Linked DNA regions of Sus scrofa. The protein of the gene in region 4 purifies or fractionates together with the protein of the main gene of each other region. This does not show direct contact. Links are inferred from orthologs where the notes say so. Each region holds a gene or a part of one and is shown on either strand. Other genes may lie near its edges. The genes, in order: ANAPC11, ANAPC2, CCNB1 and ANAPC4.

Region 1 (5,154 bases), on a different chromosome or scaffold from region 4:
TGTTTGTGGCCTCGCCTGTCAGCAGCTGGGAGTGACAGGACATCCTGTCTCTCTCCTGATTCTAATCTGAGAGAGTCCTACCTCCAAGGCCCTTGGTACCTGCTGCTGGCACTCCACTCCACACACCTAGAAGCGCTACCTCTGTGGAGAGGACGTGGCACACACAGGACACGCTAACGCTGCCTGAGGTCAAGGGCAACAGGCGGCCCTCTGATCTTCAAGGATCTGGAAAACCCCGCCAAACAGCTGCTAACAAGAGAACCCAATGACCTCCCCAGGTCAGGTCCCCGCCGGGACTGAGGGGCTGCAGCCCACTGCCCCCACCTTCTCCTAGGTCCCATTCCCTACGTCACTGCCTTGGGGGGTCTCTGCGGCCCTCACGTGCTAGCTGTGTAAGGTGTCACTGGTGCACAGACAGACCACCAGGACAACAGGGGCCATCTTGCCCAGGAAGTGGCTCCTAAGTGCAGGTCTGGGAACCCCGAGACCCCCGGGCTGGCCTGGTCGCCTGTGGCCCTGGTTCTTAAGACACCAAACAGGGACACAGGTGACCGTACAATACGTTAAGGAGACACCACCACGGCCAAGCCACACCACGTTGCTCTCGAGCCCCAGGCAGCACCTGCTTCTGCTGGACGGCGGGCCAGGCACCTGGCCTGTGTTCTCGACCAGCCTCACCGCGCTCTGCAGCCACCACGCTGCCCCACCTGATGGAGGCCAAGGCCCCACAACTAATGAGGGCCGCTGCCACCTGAGGGGCGGGCGCTGTTCCGACCAGGTGGCTGTCGTCGTGTCCACGTCTGCTGAAGACACCCAGCTCCTTCCCGACCCGAGCAGCCACCCCCGTGGGACACACGTCGCACCGCCATCGCCTTCATTTGTTTGGAGCAGTTCCTCAATCTTTTAAAACATCCTTTTTGTAACTGGAGACATCTCACCCTTTCCGACAACCTTTGGCAAGGACAAAACTCCCTCTGCCTCCCAGGCCACGGGGGTGGGGTGAGCAGGACGCTGTGCCAGGAGCCCACCGGGTGGGGGCCCTCGTTTAGATAAGCGTCCGGCGTCCCACCCGGCCGTTCCGCCTCAGCAGAACAAGGCTTGCCATCACCCCTGACACGTCAGACTCCCTCACAAACAGAACAGGAGAGGACGAGCAGGGCCAGCTAGCCCACTGGTGGGTGCCCCGGCCGGCCTGCCTGCCCCGGGACCTGACAGTACAAGAGCATGCTGGCGGCGGGCCGGCTCAGGCCGGTGGAATCCTCTCAGCAAGACTCGCCCGCCCTCGGAAACCCTGGGAGGAGTGGATTCATCACAGTCTGAGTCCCTCCGGATTCTTCAGAGTGCCGTTTCCGCAGAGAAGCCCCAGTGTCACCTGATCCGGGCAGAAGGCATCCTGGGCTCACCCACCACTTTGCTCAGTACCACCGGCTCCCTCTGTTTCACCACCAGCAGGCCCCAAGTTCAGACTCCAAGCCCCCTCTCCGTTGCAGCTGACACACTCGCCCGTCAGCCTGCCCCGCAGCTGGAGTGTGCCACTGGGCGGTGTGCACCGGGTACCACACAGGCTCATCGCCCACTTCGGGCCAAGGGCACAGCCACAAAATTGCTTTCGAGGACTCTTCTCTCCTGAGGCCGTAATCTGCTGCTGAGGAGGTTGCAGATACCCACCCCACCCGTGTGGTACTCTTGGAAAAGGTGGTTTCCTTTCTTTTTTCTCTAGGAAGGGCCAGATCTCCCACTTCTCCTCTCCTTCACGTTCAGGAAAACCCCATCAGGCAGAGCCAGTCAGGGCCTCCTAAGATTGCATCCCGCCTGGCTGACTCACAGGATGGGCTGAGTCCTGGGTGATGAGATTCCCTCTCAGCAGGAAGACGAAGGATTACCACCAGGGTAGAAACACGTGACTCTAAGAAGCAGCACCATTCGGCCTCACATGGCCCCACAAGACAGGCCTGGTCACTCACTGCACCCGAGCAGCTGCTCAGTGGTCCCCAAGCCCCACCTCCCTCTTGGGACCACCCTTGTCCCCTTGGCAAAGCCAGAGACCCTTTCGTCTGTCCCCAAACTAAATTAACTCTTGACCTGAATATAACAACCACTTTCACTTCACCAAACACCCTGGGAAGGAACGAACACGGCAAAAGCGGCAAAAGATGTCTCCTTGCGTTGTGTTGTCTGTGGTGACAGCAGTGGCGAATGACAGAGAGAAGTGAGTGGCAAAAAGCATTACCTCCAGCACTGACTTTAAAACATTTGGACAAAAGCAAATACGGAAACATGTCATTTCCGGTTTGACCTGCTAGATGGGAGAGTGGTTTTATAACATTCCATTCTTTTGTTGGCTTGAGAATAAAGGTCTTCGAATAAAAGATCTTAACACATCTCTCAGTCCCACGTGTTTCACAGTGACTCTCACCTGGACAGGAAGCTGTGCTCTTTTTTCTCACCAAACCTTTGACAGACGTCTCGTGTACAAACATGGGCCCAAACTGACTAGCCTTTCCCCATTAACTTTCTTGGGGAAAGGAAATCAAACGCTGGGGATGCTATGCAGGTATCTCTAAGGACCTGCCAAGGCCAGCAAGCAGTCAAAACTCGAGGGCGGGCAGGGGCACTCACAGTCCGGGCAGCAGCCATTGAAGGCCATCCGGCAGATACCGCAGTTCTCGTCGTTGGCCACCCAGAGCCACGTGGCCACGCCGTTCCAGCACTTGATCTTCACCTTCATGGCGCGGGAGCCTGCGGGAGGGAAGAGACCCCCGGGGTTCCGGTGAGGCTGCTGAGCTACAGCACTTGGGAGCCAAAGAAGAGGTTCCGCCCCGAGCCCTCTAGAGGGTCGGGGAGGGCAGGAGTCGCCTCCGGCAGGGCAGCACAAACTGTCAGCGAGGCGGCTGGGGCAAGGGCCGGGTCCCCGGGAGGACCGGGCGCTCAGCGCATCTCCCAACGCCGCGCTTCTGCCCGGGCGTCCACGGAAGGGGGCGTCGGCTTCCGTTAACCACTGCAAAATCCTGCCGTGTGTACGTCTGAAAGGGACATGACTGTCGAGGTCAGGAGGAGAGCCAAACCCCTCCCTGCAAGACACCCGCGGAAACAAGCCCCCGGCCTGCGCGGCCGCTCCCCCCGCCTCCGCGGACCCGAGCGCGGGTTCGGGGCGGGGGGAGGGGCAGGACCCGGTTAGGACGTGCAAGGAGGGGCAAGGGAGGGGCGGAAGCCCGGCCCCGCCCAACGGCCGCACCCCCACTAACCAAATCACGCGCTGCCCCACCCGCCTTCCGTTGGCGGCGCCGGCGCCCGCGCGGGAAGGTATATAAACGACCGCGGCTGCGGACAGGCACTTCTCAGCGGCGCCCGCCGAAGCCCGGGGTCCAGCGCGCACGCCCCGCCCCGCCCCCCGACGCCGCCGCCGCCTCGCAGCCAATCCGCGGCCGCTCCGAGGACGCAGGCCCGGAAAAGGCCGCGCGGCGCAGGAAGTGACGCGCCGGCGTGCTGACGCGCGGGCTCCAGCCGAGGCCGATTCCGCGCCCGCCATGGCCGACAAAATGGATATGTCTCTGGACGACATCATTAAGCTGAACCGGAGCCAGCGAGGCGGCCGCGGCGGGGGCAGGGGCCGCGGCCGGGCCGGCTCCCAGGGCGGCCGCGGCGGCGGGGCGCAGGCTGCCGCGCGAGTGAGCCGAGGCGGCGGACCCATTCGGAACCGGCCGGCCATCGCCCGCGGCGCGGCGGGCGGCGGCAGGAACCGGCCGGCGCCCTACAGCAGGGTGAGTGCGGAGGCCGGCTGGCGGGCCGCGGCCGGGGGGCGGGCAGGCAGCGCGACGCGGGAGCAGCGGGCGGGCCGGGCCGGGGGGGTGGGGGCGCGGGCGCCGGCCGGGCGGACGGGGGAGGTCGCGCGCCAGCCGGGCCCCGAAGCGAGACCCCACCGGCCTTTGTTTGGGCTGGACGCCGGGCCTCGTGGCGCCGGGGGCCGAGGAGACGTTGGCGCGGCCGCCCTGGCGGCGGGAAGTTAGTTGGAGGGAACCGAGAAGTTGCGGGAAGTGCGGCCCCGCGGGCGGGAAGCGGGGGCTGCGGGCCCCTCTCGGTGCCTTCCTCCCGGGCCGCGATGGGGGAAGGTCTTGTGGCCGTGGGGGCGAGGGCGAGTCCTGGAGCGCGACTTATGGGTCTTTTTCTGTCGCGTTTTCTTTTTCTTTAGCCGAAACAGCTTCCTGACAAATGGCAACACGACCTTTTCGACAGCGGTTTTGGGGGTGGTGCCGGCGTGGAGACCGGTGGGAAACTGTTGGTGTCAAATCTGGATTTTGGCGTGTCCGACGCTGATATTCAGGTAAGAGACTGGAGCTTCTCCTCGGGAGCAGCTCACCCTGTACAGCACTGACTGTGGTGTTTGGGACGGGCCGGGACCCTGAATCCGCACCCACCTTGGGACAGTGAGCCCCTCCCAGGCCCTCGAGGGCTGGCCACCACTGCTCCCTGGAAGGGGCTGCTGGAGTGCATAGCAAAGGCCAAGCTAGAGCTGAAAGTCCAACTGCTGGTTCAGTTTGCGCTGGAAGACAGGCCCGGGTCGGGCCGGGCCGAGGCACCGCGGCTTTGGTAGCTAAGCATCCGCCGTGGGGGTGAGGAGCCTCTGCCTGCCCTTTTCTGGCAAGTGTGGCTGAACGCGTGTGGTTCTGCGTCCCTGAAAGAGCGCGGCTGTCTGCGGCTTTATTTCGTGCCCGTTTTAGTGATGCTTTGGGAGGAGAAAGCCCTTTCTCTGCAGGGCTGACAAAGTGCAGAAGCAGAGTGCTACAGGCATCTCTGGTCCCCTCTGCCTTAAGCCCCGTGGAACTGGGTCCCGGTCTTTCTCTCACCTATGCTCACGCTCTGGGTCTCGTTAGCGGCGCAAGTGTTTATTTAGTCTCGTCTTCGACTCAAGCCTCTTTTCTTTTCCGTTTCTTTTTCTCTTTTTTAAATCCACTCTCCAAGGCACTTGAACTGGTTTTCTCGTGAAGTAATGCCGTTTTGGGGGTCAGTCCTGCAGATGGCTGGGTCCGGGTGAGGGGCCTTCCTGGGTTCGGTCTCCCAGAGCCCAGCCGTTTTACTTAGCCGTGGGGGGACAGAGCAAGGCCAGTGAGCGCTCACAGTGTCTCCACACTTTTTTTAAGGTGGTTTCTGGCATCC
Region 2 (4,539 bases), on a different chromosome or scaffold from region 4:
CAGGGAACTCCAGGAATTGGTCTTGCTGAAAGCACATGTCACTGTAAGCCACCTGACCCTAAGCAAGTCCCAGGCAGCTCCTCGTGCCTTGGCTTAACTGGGGACTCCCGGCCACCACACACCCCACATGTTCTGACAGCGCCCACAGGCCCCAGCAGCAGCCGTGGGGAGCTGGACCCTCAGGACAGACAGATCGAGGGTGACCTAAGGGTTCCTGTCTGGGGCCAGAGGGGTGCAGAGTTCCCCGGTGGCCCAGCACTTAAGGATTCAGCACTGTCACTGAACTCAGGCTGGATCCCTGGCCCGGTAGCTTCTGCATGCTACAGGTGTGGCCAAAAAAAAAAAAAAAAAAAAAGGCCCGAGCAGTGAGGCTCGAGCTGGAGCCAGGCTGCTGAGCCCTGTGAGCTCCAGCCAAGCCACAGGCCTGGCCGAGCCACAAGCCTGACGTGCCAGGACCCCTCCTGGCCTGGAACCCAAACAGCCGCGCGGCTTCCTGCATGTGCCCCCCGGGGGCCAGGCCCCGCCAGAGGGACAACCTGCATCACGTGCCCGCAAGGGCCCACAAAGCCAGCAGGACAGCGAGAGGCAGAGGAAAGGTCTGCTTTACTCGGCGCGGGGCGGGCGTGTCAGCCGCAGCTCTTGGGCAGGCGGTAGACGCCGGCGGCGTAGACGAGCTGCTGGTCCCGCACTTTCTTCTGCAGGAAGCCCTGGAGCTCCTGCAGGTCGATCTCAGCCAGCGCGGGGCCGGTCACCACGAACATGCGCAGCATGCTGTAGATGCGCTCCAGCGAGAGGCTCTCCAGGTTGGTCAGCATGGCCTGGATGTACGTCCAGAAGAGCTGGGGGACAGCGGCGGCTCAGCGGGCGGGCAGGCCCCCCGCAGGGCCGCCACCTCACGGGGGCCAAGCCCGGCGCCGCCCCCGCCCCCGGCGCACCAGCAGCTCCTCCTCCTTCTGGTCGGCCTGCGAGGCCATGCCCGAGTCGCTCTCATCGTCACTGTCGATGAGCACCATGCTGTCCCGGTCCTGGGGCCGCTCCTCCTCCACCACCGAGAAGGTGCCGGCCGGCTCCTCGCGCAGCACACCCTGCTGCAGCCACACCGACATGCGCCGCCGCAGCAGCGCCACGGGCATCTTCACTGCCTTGCTCAGCTCCTCCAGGGTCCAGCTGGCTGTGGGCGGGGGGGGCAGGCACACTGGGTGCACTGGGGGCCACCGTGCCTCCCAGAACCTGGGACCCAGCTCAGCAGGACTCAGACGGCCCAGCTGGGCGAGGGGGTGGGGGGCACAGGAAGGGGTTGTTGCCTGCGTGGCCTTGGGCCACCTGGGCCCGGGCCGCCCTCTGCAGACACAGAGCAGTGCCCGGCACCGGCCCTGGGAGCATGGGCTCACCTTGGTCCTGGAAGTACAGCAAGACCACTGCCTGCACAGGGGTCACGGCCACAGACAGGGTGCGGTCGGCCAGCTCCACATCCATGGTTACCAGGCCCAGGGTGTGCTTCCAGCTGAGTGTCCGCATGGCCTGGGGAGGGCTGGGGTCAGCACAGGCAGCCCAGCTGCTCTGCTGGCTCAGGCCCCCCTCCCCACCACCACAGGCAGAGGAGCTGCGCAGCAGCTCAACCGAGTGGGGAGGGCCGCCATGCCCCCGGGACGTCCCGTCTCAATCCCGGACCTCAGATTGTGACCTGACGTGGGAACAGTGCCTCTGCAGATGTCACAAGTGAAGACGAGGCTGGTGGTCCTGGAGTAACGTGGGCCCTCACCTACCACCACTGGTGGCCCAGAGCGCGGTGGCTGCACACACACGGGGGAAGACAGAGGCGCCTCTGCGGCTGCACGAGGCAAGAGGGCTCGCCTGCGGCCCCCAGAAGGCACACAGCCAGGCTGACAGCTCCAGCCCAGACCCTGGCCTCCGCCACTATGTTCCTGTCGTTCTAAGCCACCTGCTTCTTGGTCCTTTGTGACAGCAGCCCCAGGAGGAGGCTGAGGGTGCTGCTGTTACAAACTTCAAGAAAAAAAAAAGTGCAAGCAGCCGTGGTGTTGAGGGGCAGGGGGAGCTGGGAGAGCTGGGAGCTGCGCGCTCCCAAAAGCCTGGATTGCCCCGCGGAGAGCCTTGGTAGAGAGACGGCAGAGGCCGTCCTCAAGAGGTCTGCTGAAAGGAGGACCCTGTCGCTGGAGCTGGAGGACAGGCAAGCTTGTTGTGCAGTGGCAGGGACGGGTCGTGGAGGGTGGCAAGCGGCACCTGACGTTTGGCTGCGATTTCCAAGCCGGGAAGGTGTGGCCTGGCTGCTCCTTACAGTTTGCAGGCCACGGGAGGGAAACCAGGAAGAAATTGGTACAAGCACCAGGAACCAGCACCCGGCGCCTGGCATCTTCCCACGTGCTCTGGGGAGTCGAGGGGCCCCAGAGGTGATGTACGTCAGGGTGGCAGCAACCAGCAGCGGCCGCCAGCAGGAAAGCCAGGACGGTCAGAGCCCCATGGAGGGACTGGACCGTGAACTGCGCGGAGGTCAACAAGGGTTCGGAGAACTTTCTACCAGTGGAAACGACATCAGCCTGAACGGAAAGGGAGGGCCGGCCAGGCAGGAGACTGGCTCGGCTCGGGCAGAGCCTCGGAGATGTAGATACCAGATGCCTGGCCTGGCCGAGCGCGCCCCAGCCCAGCCCAGCCGCGGGGCCAAATTCCCTCCCCGGATTTCAGCCCTGCTCAGGGGCGGGCCCTTCCCTGTCGCCCGTGGAGCGGGGCTGTCTGCCCATCACCAGACGTGGGAAGCAGCGAGGTGCTCAGCTGGCTTCACAGGTTCACAGCTGAAGAACTGTGCCCCAGTTCTCCCCTCACCCAGCCTAGATGCTATTTGTTTGCTTTAAACTTTCTTTTTGGCCACGCCCTTGGGACGTGGACGGTCCAGGTCAGGGATGGAACCCACGCCACAGCAGAGACCTGAGCCGCTGCAGTGACAGCGTCAGGTCCTTACCCCGCTGTCCAACAGGGGAGCTCGCAGACATGGTTTATATGTGGAGGTTTGGGCTCTGAGCTGCTGGAAGGGGAACACTCCAGGAAGGCTCAGCTGGGCTGAATGTACTCTGCACGTGAGAAGGATGTGAGGTTTGGGGGTCCAGAGGACAGGCTCCTATGGCCTGAAGTGCGACCCCCCCAAAAAAGATGCTGAAGCCCTGACCCCCGGGGCCTCCGAAGCTACCTGGGAAATGAAGTTCTTCCCATGTGGTTAAAGCGAGGTCGTCCTGGGGTACAGTGGGCCCTTAATCCGGTAGGACTGGTGTCCTTGTAAGAAGAGGGACAGGGACAGCAGGAGAGGCCGTGGGCCAAGACGCAGGGGACAGAGCGATGCGCCTACAGGCCAAGGAGTGAGGCCTGAAAGAGGCAGGGACGCCCTCTCTTGGAGCCTCAGGAGGGAGCCCTGTGGACCCCGATCCTCAGCTTCTGGCCGCCTGACCTGAGACGAGAGCTCCGTGCTGCCTAAGGCCCATCTGCGGGGCTCGGTCCTGGCCGCCACGCCGGGCCAGGCGCTGCTGGGTCGGCCCACAGCCCCTTAGCTCTGAGTGGGGAGGCAAGGACCCAAGCCCACTTCGTGGAGAGAAAACGGAGACACGGCTGGCAGCTCGCCCGGGTCACCAGCAGGCCCTCTGGCACCAAGGCCATGACCTTTACCACCCTCACGCCAGCCCAGAGTCGGGCAGGTGCGAGGCACGAGGTCGGCACAGCCCTGGGGCTGGGAGCCTGGCTGGAGGGAGTCAGAGGCACACGGCCGCGGGCCTGCCTCTGGCCCAGCTCCGGGGCTGGCTGTGGCCACTCTGGTGTCCGGCTGGGTTTAGACCAGGTGTCCTGGGCTGCGTCTGGGTCAGGACGGAACTCGGGTGGAAGGCAGTGGGGCCTCCGCTGGCAGGTGTGCTGGAGCAGCGGGAGGCCGTGTGCAGCACAGGGCGCCGAGCACACGGGCTGCCACACAGACATCTCCCACCAGGAAGGTGGGCGTGCAGTGCCAAGGCCCCACACCCAGGTAAGAGCAGGGAGCGTGGGGGGGCCCTGCACCTCCCTCCTGCGGGGCTGACCACACCCCGGCTCCCCGCCAGGCCACCCCCCGCAGGGACCGGCCGCCCTGCACCGTCCTGTCCCTCAAGGACGAGGCGCCTTAACAGCAGCCGCATCTAGACAGCTAAGCTGGACGAGCCGCCACCCCTCTCGCTGGCCTGGCCCTGCCGCTCCGGTGCGAGGGGTCTCCGAGCCCTGACTTCTGGCCCCCCATCTCCAGGGGTGTCCCAGGTCCCTCCAGGGCTGGGGGTCTGCACCCTGGAGACCTGTGGCCACGCGGGCCCCACACCCCAGTCAGCCTGATGGGCCAGAACCTGCCTCTCCACCTGCGCCCAGAAACCCGGGAGAGCCTCCTGGCCCCGCCTCTCTGCCGAGGCGCCTGCGCAGAGCCCTCCGGGGAAGGAAGGGTCCTCCGGGCCGCAGACCCCGCCCAGGCCAGGCTCCACCCACCCTCGCCTCTGCCCCAGACGCCGACCCGGGCCCCAGGAC
Region 3 (4,539 bases), on a different chromosome or scaffold from region 4:
TCTTCTACTTCAGGTTCTGGATTTAGAGTCTTAAGTGAAAAGATATGAGGTGATACTATGGTATCTTTATTAGGGAAGAAGTGGGGACAAGGTATGGGCCAGTAGTGGTGAAATGGACATAGTAAGATCTGCCATTGTGAAAACCTGTCACATTGTCCTGTTGAATGTTTGCTTTATTTCTTCCTCAGCAAAAGAGCTGTTTGCAATGACTGTATGAATAATCCAATCACTAGAGGGATTTCCTGTTGTGGCTCAGCAGTAACGAACCTGACTAGTATCCATGAGGACACAGTTTTTTTTTTTTTTTTTTTTTTTTTTTTGTCTTTTTGCTATTTCTTTGGGCCGCTCCCTTGGCATATGGAGGTTCCCAGGCTAGGGGTCGAATCGGAGCTGTAGCCACTGACCTGCGCCAAAGCCACAGCAACTTGGGATCTGAGCCGCATCTGCAACCTACACCACAGCTCACGGCAACGCCGGATCGTTAACCACTGAGCCACGACGGGAACTCCAGGACACAGTTTTGAGCCCTGGCTTTGCTCTGTGGGTTAAAGGATCCAGCGTTGTGGTGAGCCGCAGTGTAGGTCACAGAGATCGCTTGGATCCCTCGTTGCTGTGGCTATGGCGTAGGCTGGCGGTTGCAGCTCCGATTCAACCCCTAGCCTAGCAACTTCCACATGCTGTGGGTACAGGCCTAAAAAAGATAAAAACAAAACAAAATAATAAAAAAGAACTGTTAGCGATCCTAAATGTTTTAGAGCTACTCTGAGGGGACATTTCTGGTCAGAAATGTCATGTGGGGAGTTCCCGTCATGGCGCAGTGGTTAACGAATCCGACTAGGAACCATGAGGTTGCGGGTTCGGTCCCTGCCCTTGCTCAGGGGGGTAATGATCCGGCGTTGCCCTGAGCTGTGGTGTAGGTTGCAGACGCGGCTCGGATCCTGCGTTGCTGTGGCTCTGGCGTAGGCTGGTGGCCACAGATCCGATTCCGACCCCTAGCCTGGGAACCTCCATATGCCGCGGGAGCGGCCAAAGAAATAGCAAAAAGACAAAAAAAAAAAAAGAAAGGAAAAAAGAAATGTCACGTGGAGTCTTGCTTCTAAGGATAATCCGCACTTCTTTTGCAGGAAGAACAAGCAGTTAGACCAAAATACCTACTGGGTCGTGAAGTCACTGGAAACATGAGAGCCATCCTAATTGACTGGCTAGTGCAGGTTCAGATGAAATTCAGGTTACTACAGGAGACCATGTACATGACAGTTTCCATTATTGATCGGTTCATGCAGGTGAGCATAAATTCAGCAACTGAGAGATCTCTCTTCGAGGGTCCTAGCTATAAGTCATAAGAAACAAACTTTTTCAGCTAAAATCTGTCTTGGGAGTTGAAATTTTAGTGTGGGAGTGTCTTTCTCCATTGCGCTGTGCCTCCTTTTCAAATGCATGTTACTTATTCATCCAATTGAGGTTCCCATTGCAGGATAATTGTGTGCCCAAGAAGATGCTCCAACTGGTTGGTGTCACTGCCATGTTTATTGCCAGCAAATATGAAGAAATGTACCCTCCAGAAATTGGTGACTTTGCCTTTGTGACTGACAATACTTACACTAAGTACCAAATCAGGCAGATGGAAATGAAGATTCTAAGAGCATTAAATTTTTGTCTGGGTCGCCCTCTACCCCTGCATTTTCTTCGGAGAGCATCCAAGATTGGAGAGGTACAGAGTAAAAATTGAAAATTTTAGTATGGTACATTGGGGAATACTGCTGACCAATGAGATCTAACTCAACTGCCTTGTACTATGTATCTAACTACGTGGGGAAGGGTTAAAGATGGTCTTTATTTCCAATCAGGCTGTTGTGGTAATATTAAAGTTTTTCATAGGCAATTGCATTTGAGTTGAGAGACAAACATTTACAGTTAAAAGTTATGGGCATACCCCATAGTTACTGCCAATGCAAAATTCTCAGACGAGCTCAGTGACCCCGTGGGTTTTGTTCCAGGTTGATGTTGAGTTACATACTTTGGCCAAATATCTGATGGAGCTAACTATGTTGGACTACGATATGGTGCACTTTCCTCCTTCTCAGATCGCAGCAGGAGCTTTTTGCCTATCCCTGAAGATTCTTGATAATGGTGAATGGGTAAGCTCTGTCCCACAAACTAAGGTCACGCCAAGCTTTTAAATTGTAGTATTTACTGAATACAGACCTGTTTCTATTAAAGGACAATTCACTTGGTTCCTAAATATGGCATCTACTGAGGGAAGGTTTTAAAATCAAGTTTGTGATATCTTCATAGCTTGCTTCCATTTCATTACCTAATCTCATCTTTCTATACCCCTCTGGGAAAAGCAGAGCAGTTGCTACTCCTTACAGATGGAGAAACTCAAGCAGGTGAAATGACATAGCAGAAGTTTATTCATATTCATTGATTAAACAAGCATTTCTGGAGTTCCCGTCGTGGCGCAGTGGTTAACGAATCTGACTAGGAACCATGAGGTCGCGGGTTCGGTCCCTGCCCTTGCTCAGTGGGTTAACGATCCGGCGTTGCCGTGAGCTGTGGTGTAGGTCACAGACGCGGCTCGGATCCCGCATTGCTGTGGCTCTGGTGTAGGCCGGTGGCTACAGCTCCGATTCAACCCCTAGCCTGGGAATCTCCATATGCCGCGAGAGCGGCCCAAGAAATAGCAACAACAACAACAACAAAAGACAAAAAAAGACCAAAAAAAAAACAACAAGCATTTCTCCTGTGTGCCATGTGATACTCTAGACCCTAGCAATAGAATTATCAATGAGAAAGTCAGCTCCGAGGAACTTGGGGTTTAGCTTTGGGGTGGACAAGTCAGCAATTTAAAAAATGTAAGTAGGTTTGAGCACAGGATCCCAGGGAAAGCATGAAAGGAGAGTACCTGGGGAAAAAGGGGTCTTAAGCTTGTCTTAAATTTCAGTTATAATCAGTCACACAGTATCTTCCTCTCTATCCTATTTTTGAGTAACATCTAGAGGTTTTATGAAAACCATCATTGATGAGCATTTTCAACCTTAACTTTTGTTGTCTTAGACACCAACTCTACAGCATTACCTGTCATACACTGAAGAATCCCTTCTTGTGGTTATGCAACACTTGGCTAAGAATATCGTCGTGGTGAATCGAGGGCTTACAAAGCACATGGTAAGTCAGTGGCACTGTAGAGTGTTGGGGGAAAAGTGAAAATCATTAAGACTTGATGCCTGGAGTTCCCGCTGTGGCTCAGTGGAAACGAATCTGACTAGCATCCATGAGGAGGACGCAGGTTCGATCCCTGGTCTCGCTCAGCAGGTTAAGGATCCCGCATTGCCATGAGCTGTGGTGTAGGTCGCAGATGTGGCTCGGATCCCACGTTGTTGTGGCTGTGGTATAGGCCAGTGGCTACAGCGCCAATTTAGCCCCTAGCCTGGAAACTTCTGTATGCTGCAAGTGCAGCTGTAAAAAAAAAAAAAAAAGACTTGATGGCCCGACAATTCATAAGCTGATTTTTAAGGAGTTGATGGTTTTAAGTGACTATTTGTACCATGGATTCTTATAAGGTTTTCCTCTTTTCCTTCATTAATTACTGTGTTTTTCCATTCCAGACTATCAAGAACAAGTATGCCACATCTAAGCATGCTAAGATCAGCACTCTAGCCCAGCTGAATTCAGCACTAGTTCAAGATTTAGCCAAGGCTGTGGCAAAGGTGTAACTTGTGAACTTCGGAATACTATAATATCTACAAATAAAATTGGCACCATGTGCCATCTGTACATATTATATGTTACACTTATTTACTTTTAATAAAGTTTGTAGTCCTTTTTACTTCTTAACTCATTTGAATGTGGCTATTTCCCACTTGAGGATAACTTAAAAGTTGTCTTAAAGGTACAGTGGAGAATGTTTTTTAAAAAATGAAAACTGTTTTCAGTTACCTGGGAACCCAACTAATATATACAATTGGCTCTTCTTGTTTTATGTACTTGGCATAACTTAATTAATATGAGTTCATATAGTCTTGAAGCCATTTAATATCTTTATATGTTACACTGTATGTAAGCTCAGTCATCTTGAGAGAATCTGCTACCTAGTTCTACACAAGGAAGAGTCTACCGTCTCAATCCTAGTCCCCTTGTTTTATATTTCCTCTGGTGGCTGCAGTCATAATCCTAAATAATCTACTTGTACCACTTTCTTAAATTATCAACTTTAGTATCAACTTTTTCACTTGGAAAAATGAGAATTTTAATTTATATTCAAAACCTAATTTACTTTTTGTTTATTGGTTAAGAAAAATAAAACAATCCTTAGAACAAATATGAAAGTATCTGAAAAAGTTTATTGGGAGTTCCCGTCGTGGCGCAGCAGTTAACGAATCCGACTAGGAACCATGAGGTTGCGGGTTCGGTCCCTGCCCTTGCTCAGTGGGTTAACGATCCGGCGTTGCCGTGAGCTGTGGTGTAGGTTGCAGACGTGGCTCGGATCCTGCGTTGCTGTGGCTCTGGTGTAGGCTGGCGGCCACAGCTCCGATTAGA
Region 4 (4,539 bases):
CAGAGAACGAGTGCAAGCTTTCAGGTTTTTCTACATCACACAAAACAATTTTCTTGGTGTCAGCAAGAGCAAAGGCCAAAACTAAAAACAAGAAGAAATAATCAGAAAAGATGAGTACATTTGAGAAAGATGGGCATTTTGCTTCTTGCCCAATTTTACTATTTTCAATACATCATAATCATAGAAAGTATTTAACCCCCCAATCCTTCAGGTAATTAAAAAATTAAAGCCATCACTGCATATAGTTATGCTGTTATTTACACTTATATTCAAATGCTCATCTTTCATGAGCAATCTACTTTCTTGTGTACTGTTCTTAACATCTTCCACACCAGACACTCTAGACTGAAACCTTGATGCCAAGCAAAAAATACAGAACAGGAGTCAACGCATAAACAATAATATCATATCGGAGTTCCCACTGTGGCACAAAGGATTGGTGGTATCTCTGTAGTGCCAGGACACAGGTTCGATCCCTAGCCCAGCACAGTGGGTTAAGGATCTGCGTTGCCGCAGCTGCAGTGTAGGTCACCAATGAGGCTCGGCTCTGATCCCTGGCACAAGAACTACATACGCCACGGGGTGGCCAAAAAAGAAAAAAAAAAAAAAATCCTATCACCAAGTCATACTGGTCCCTATCTAAAAGTTAAAAAGTGATTCCATCTTTTGGTTCTTGCAAGGTGTTTTTTATTCCTCTTTTTTATTTCTAAACCTTAATGAACAGGGCCATCAAGTACTGATCTTCTTCCTTTCACTGTGGCTAAATTATCTAATACTGTTTCTCTACGTAAGCCATTACCGTCTTCCTATCAAATTTAAGAATTTCCAAATAGAAGGATGTGAGTTTTACTGCATACCAATACACACTAGATGTGAGGCAAGCCAAGTCTACCTTCTTCAAACCAATTTAAAGTAATATTAAAATAATCATTACTAAACAAAACCCTATTTTATAGTCTAAAAACACGAGACTTTTTGTTTTGTTTTTTTTGGTCTTTTTGCCATTTCTTGGACCGCTCCCACGGCATGTGGGAGGTTCCCAGGCTAGGGGTCTAATAGGAGCTGTAGCTGCCAGCCTATGCCAGAGCCACAGCAACGGGGGATCCGAGCCATGTCTGCGACCTATACCACAGCTCACGGCAATGCCGGATCCTTAACCCACTGAGCAAGGGCAGGGATCGAACCCGCAACCTCATGGTTCCTAGTTGGATTCGTTACCCACTGCGCCACGATGGGAACTCCACGAGACATTTTTAACAATAAAAATAGGGTGGGGGAAAAATGTAATTGTAATGTATACATGTAAGGATAACCTGACCCCCTTGCTGTACAGTGGGAAAATAAAAAAAAATTATAAAAAAAAAATTAAAAAAAAAAAATCATATAGGCGTTCCCTGGTAGCCCAGCAGTTAAGGATCCAGGGATCCAGTGTTGTCACTGCCGTGGCTCTGGGCAATGCTGTGGTGTGGGTTCGATCCCTGGCCTGGAGACTGCCACATGCTGCAGGTGCAGGAAAAAAAAAAAAAAATCATCTACTTAAACACATTTTCACACATACCAATTTTCATGATTTTTGAGCTCCTGGTGTTTTTGGATGAATAGTACAGGATCTCAAAATATTACTTACAACAGAAGTTCTCTACTTTTAATTAAGTTCTCTAATTTTACATATTTTCTAAAGTAAAAGATGAAACAAGAACTGAGCAAAATGGGTACAGACAAAAATAGTTGCTATCTGTAATGGACATGTTTTCAGGACATTACATACTTATTTACATACTTACAGTTTTACATACTTATATTTATGTAGGAAAAAAGTAAGCAGAGTACCTATCATTTCTTTGCTTTTAGTTTTTTGTAAAGCACCACTGATACATTTCCCTGTACAAGGGCTGTCCCCGGAGCAACACATGAAGAGGGGAGTTCAGTCCTCAGCGCTACCATATAGCAAGCTACAACCTACAGGACACCAAGAGGAGGAAGATCACGCAGAAGTTGAAGAAAGGGGCTCAGAGGGGACAGTCCCTCAGGGGAGGCAAGCATCTGTGAAGAAAGACTATTTACAAGCCACACCACATGGTATCACTTATATCTGGAATCTAATATACGGCACAAAAGAACCTTTCGACCTGTGGTTGCCAAGGGAGAGGGGGAGGGAGTGGGATGGACTGGGAGCCTGGGATTAATAGATGCAGAATGTTGCCTGGGGGATGGATCAGCAATAGGATCCTGCTGTGTAGCACTGGGAACTCTGTCTAGTCACTTCTGATGGAACACGTAATGTGAGAAAAAAGAATGTATACATGTATGTGTAACTGGGTCACCATGCTGTACAGTAGAAAAGAAAATATATGTATGTAAATAAATGATTTAAAAAAAAGAATATTTACGAGCCACATGTTTAATGCTAAAACACATTTTGGGGAGAAAAGGGCCGAGATGGCACTGAACTCACTAGGGAGTGGCAAAGGAAGCTTGGGGCAAACAGTGCAGGATGACAAGATGAAGGCAGAACAAAACCAAAGTCCCTGTATATTCCCATCAAATGTCTTCTCGGACTTCTCTTTGCCAAGAAGTCAGATTTCATCTTAGAGATATCTCTGCCGAGAATCAAGGTGGTAGAATTGCTCTGAGTTCTATGAAAACACTTTAAAGCATTCGAAAACACAAAGTTTCCAAATGTGTATCTAGAATCTTCTAGTATATAATACGAACAATAAATTCTTTGTGGAAGTAAGCTCTCTTTACAGAATACTCTTTCTGAAAAACAAAAAATGTATTTTTTTATAATACTATCATTACGTTTGCCATCTGGTCTCCAAGCCAGACAGGTCACTTCCTTTCCTGTATTTTCATTTGGTGGAAAACTCCAAACTCGATGAAAACTTGCAAGTCGATGAAGTAAAACCTAAGACAAAACAGATATAATGGCACATAATAAATAATCCATTTCCAAAACTAAAATAATCTTAGATCCCCACTATAGAATTTTTAAAAACTCATATCAAGTATAATATTGAGCTATCAGAAGAAATTAAAAGATAACAATATCTGAAAAACAGGTGAAAAGAGGTCTAATTTAACTCTGTATCCTATACTTTTCCCCACCTTTTACGTCAACAAGAGACTTATTTTTCAGAAAGCAATATGAAGATATCCAACAAGATGACAAAAAAAGAAATAAAGGACACAAACGGAACGGGAAAGGTGGCTGTATATAATTAAATAACACTAAACTTGGAATCACACAACAGTTTCAGCTGTGTCACTTACTGGCCATGGGCTCAGACAAGTCACTTAGCCATTCCATTTACACACAGGAAAATGCCCACCTCGGAGGGCCAAGAGAATGCCCTGGAGCACCTTGTGCTAAAATAAAAGTGGTCCCTACTCCATCCTCTCTACAGCCATTGGGAATAAAGACAAAAAAAGCCTTAGAACTGCAGGTGCTCCTAAAGGCCCGCCCCCCCCAACTCACACACACCCCTTAATTCCCACCCCCACAGCTAACCTCAGAGCACCCTGCACGCCTGTTCCAGGTTACAGGGAATCCAGAACTCCCAAGGAACGGTTCAGCCCCCAGACTCAATGCTCTTTTCCGAGCCCACCTCTGCTTTTCCTTACTTCTGAAACCCTTGCTGTGTGCCCTCTGGAATTCACAGTCAGGAATCAGGACCTTCCTTCTCCTCCCTGAAAGGTGCTTCTCACCTGAAAACGCTGCCTCCCTACAGGCTTCTCAGGTGGTGGCTGCTCTGCATGGCCGTGCTACGACTGGGCCAGAAGATTAAAAACTTACAAAAAGTTCTCTAATTTTACTTATTTTAAGTTCTCGAATTTTACACATTTTTTAAAGTAAAAGATGAATAAGATCTGAGCAAAATCAGTACAGACAAAAATAGCTGTTATCTGTAATCGATATGTTTTCAGGGCATTTTTACATACTTCTTATATTGTTTATAAAAACAATTTGTTCTTTGCTTTTGTTTTTCGTAAAGCACCACTGATACAGATGACCTTTAAGCTGTAAGACTTAGAGCATTTTCCTGTACAAGGACTGTCCCTGTAACAACACATGGAAGAGGGGAGTTCAGTCCTCAGGGCTATAGCATAACACACTTGGGTGCCTTTACCAGATGGTGGACCATACCACCTGCTATCCTTCTTAGCTACAGTCATCTACAGACCCCTAGGCCACACACCGCCCCCCCCCCCCCATTCCTGGGAGGTCTTCTCTCTCTTTTTTTAACTTTATGGCCTCATCTGCAGCATATGAAAGTTCAGGGGCCAGGGACTGAATCTGAACCATAGCTGCAACCTACGCCACAGCCGCAGCAATGCTGGATCATTTAACCCATTGTGCCAGGCCAGGGATCAAACCCCTATCTCTGCAGGGACTGGAGCTACTGCAGTCAGATTTTTTTTTTTTTTCCTTATGGCCGCACCAATAGCACATGGACATTCCCAGGCCAGGGGCTGAATCAGAGCTGCAGCTGCCGCCTATGTCACAGCAACAGTCACACCAGATATGAGCCACATCTG

Evidence for each region.
Region 1: the proteins of ANAPC4 (region 4) and ANAPC11 purify together in Homo sapiens (affinity purification with mass spectrometry; 8 studies listed by BioGRID and IntAct, with this or other methods). This does not show direct contact. The link is inferred for Sus scrofa from reciprocal best matches to the Homo sapiens genes ANAPC4 and ANAPC11.
Region 2: the proteins of ANAPC4 (region 4) and ANAPC2 purify together in Homo sapiens (affinity purification with western blotting; 12 studies listed by BioGRID and IntAct, with this or other methods). This does not show direct contact. The link is inferred for Sus scrofa from reciprocal best matches to the Homo sapiens genes ANAPC4 and ANAPC2.
Region 3: the proteins of ANAPC4 (region 4) and CCNB1 purify together in Homo sapiens (affinity purification with western blotting; 3 studies listed by BioGRID). This does not show direct contact. The link is inferred for Sus scrofa from reciprocal best matches to the Homo sapiens genes ANAPC4 and CCNB1.

What each region holds. Positions count from the first base shown.
Region 1 is NC_010454.4:1,095,835-1,100,988, forward strand, and holds the start of ANAPC11 (anaphase-promoting complex subunit 11), read right to left. Parts: upstream 3,400-5,154; 5' UTR 3,246-3,399; intron 2,740-3,245; 5' UTR 2,729-2,739; coding exon 2,620-2,728; intron 1-2,619. Other genes in the region: ALYREF (THO complex subunit 4), read left to right, coding at 3,528-3,761, 4,190-4,321. UniProt on the Homo sapiens protein: Together with the cullin protein ANAPC2, constitutes the catalytic component of the anaphase promoting complex/cyclosome (APC/C), a cell cycle-regulated E3 ubiquitin ligase that controls progression through mitosis and the G1 phase of the cell cycle.
Region 2 is NW_018084833.1:718,586-723,124, reverse strand, and holds the end of ANAPC2 (anaphase-promoting complex subunit 2), read right to left. Parts: intron 1,522-4,539; coding exon 1,392-1,521; intron 1,172-1,391; coding exon 936-1,171; intron 840-935; coding exon 627-839; 3' UTR 585-626; downstream 1-584. UniProt on the Homo sapiens protein: Together with the RING-H2 protein ANAPC11, constitutes the catalytic component of the anaphase promoting complex/cyclosome (APC/C), a cell cycle-regulated E3 ubiquitin ligase that controls progression through mitosis and the G1 phase of the cell cycle.
Region 3 is NC_010458.4:47,344,065-47,348,603, forward strand, and holds the end of CCNB1 (G2/mitotic-specific cyclin-B1), read left to right. Parts: intron 1-1,124; coding exon 1,125-1,283; intron 1,284-1,474; coding exon 1,475-1,711; intron 1,712-1,997; coding exon 1,998-2,138; intron 2,139-3,057; coding exon 3,058-3,168; intron 3,169-3,608; coding exon 3,609-3,716; 3' UTR 3,717-4,321; downstream 4,322-4,539. UniProt on the Homo sapiens protein: Essential for the control of the cell cycle at the G2/M (mitosis) transition.
Region 4 is NC_010450.4:19,303,573-19,308,111, reverse strand, and holds part of ANAPC4 (anaphase-promoting complex subunit 4), read right to left. Parts: intron 2,909-4,539; coding exon 2,803-2,908; intron 82-2,802; coding exon 1-81. UniProt on the Homo sapiens protein: Component of the anaphase promoting complex/cyclosome (APC/C), a cell cycle-regulated E3 ubiquitin ligase that controls progression through mitosis and the G1 phase of the cell cycle.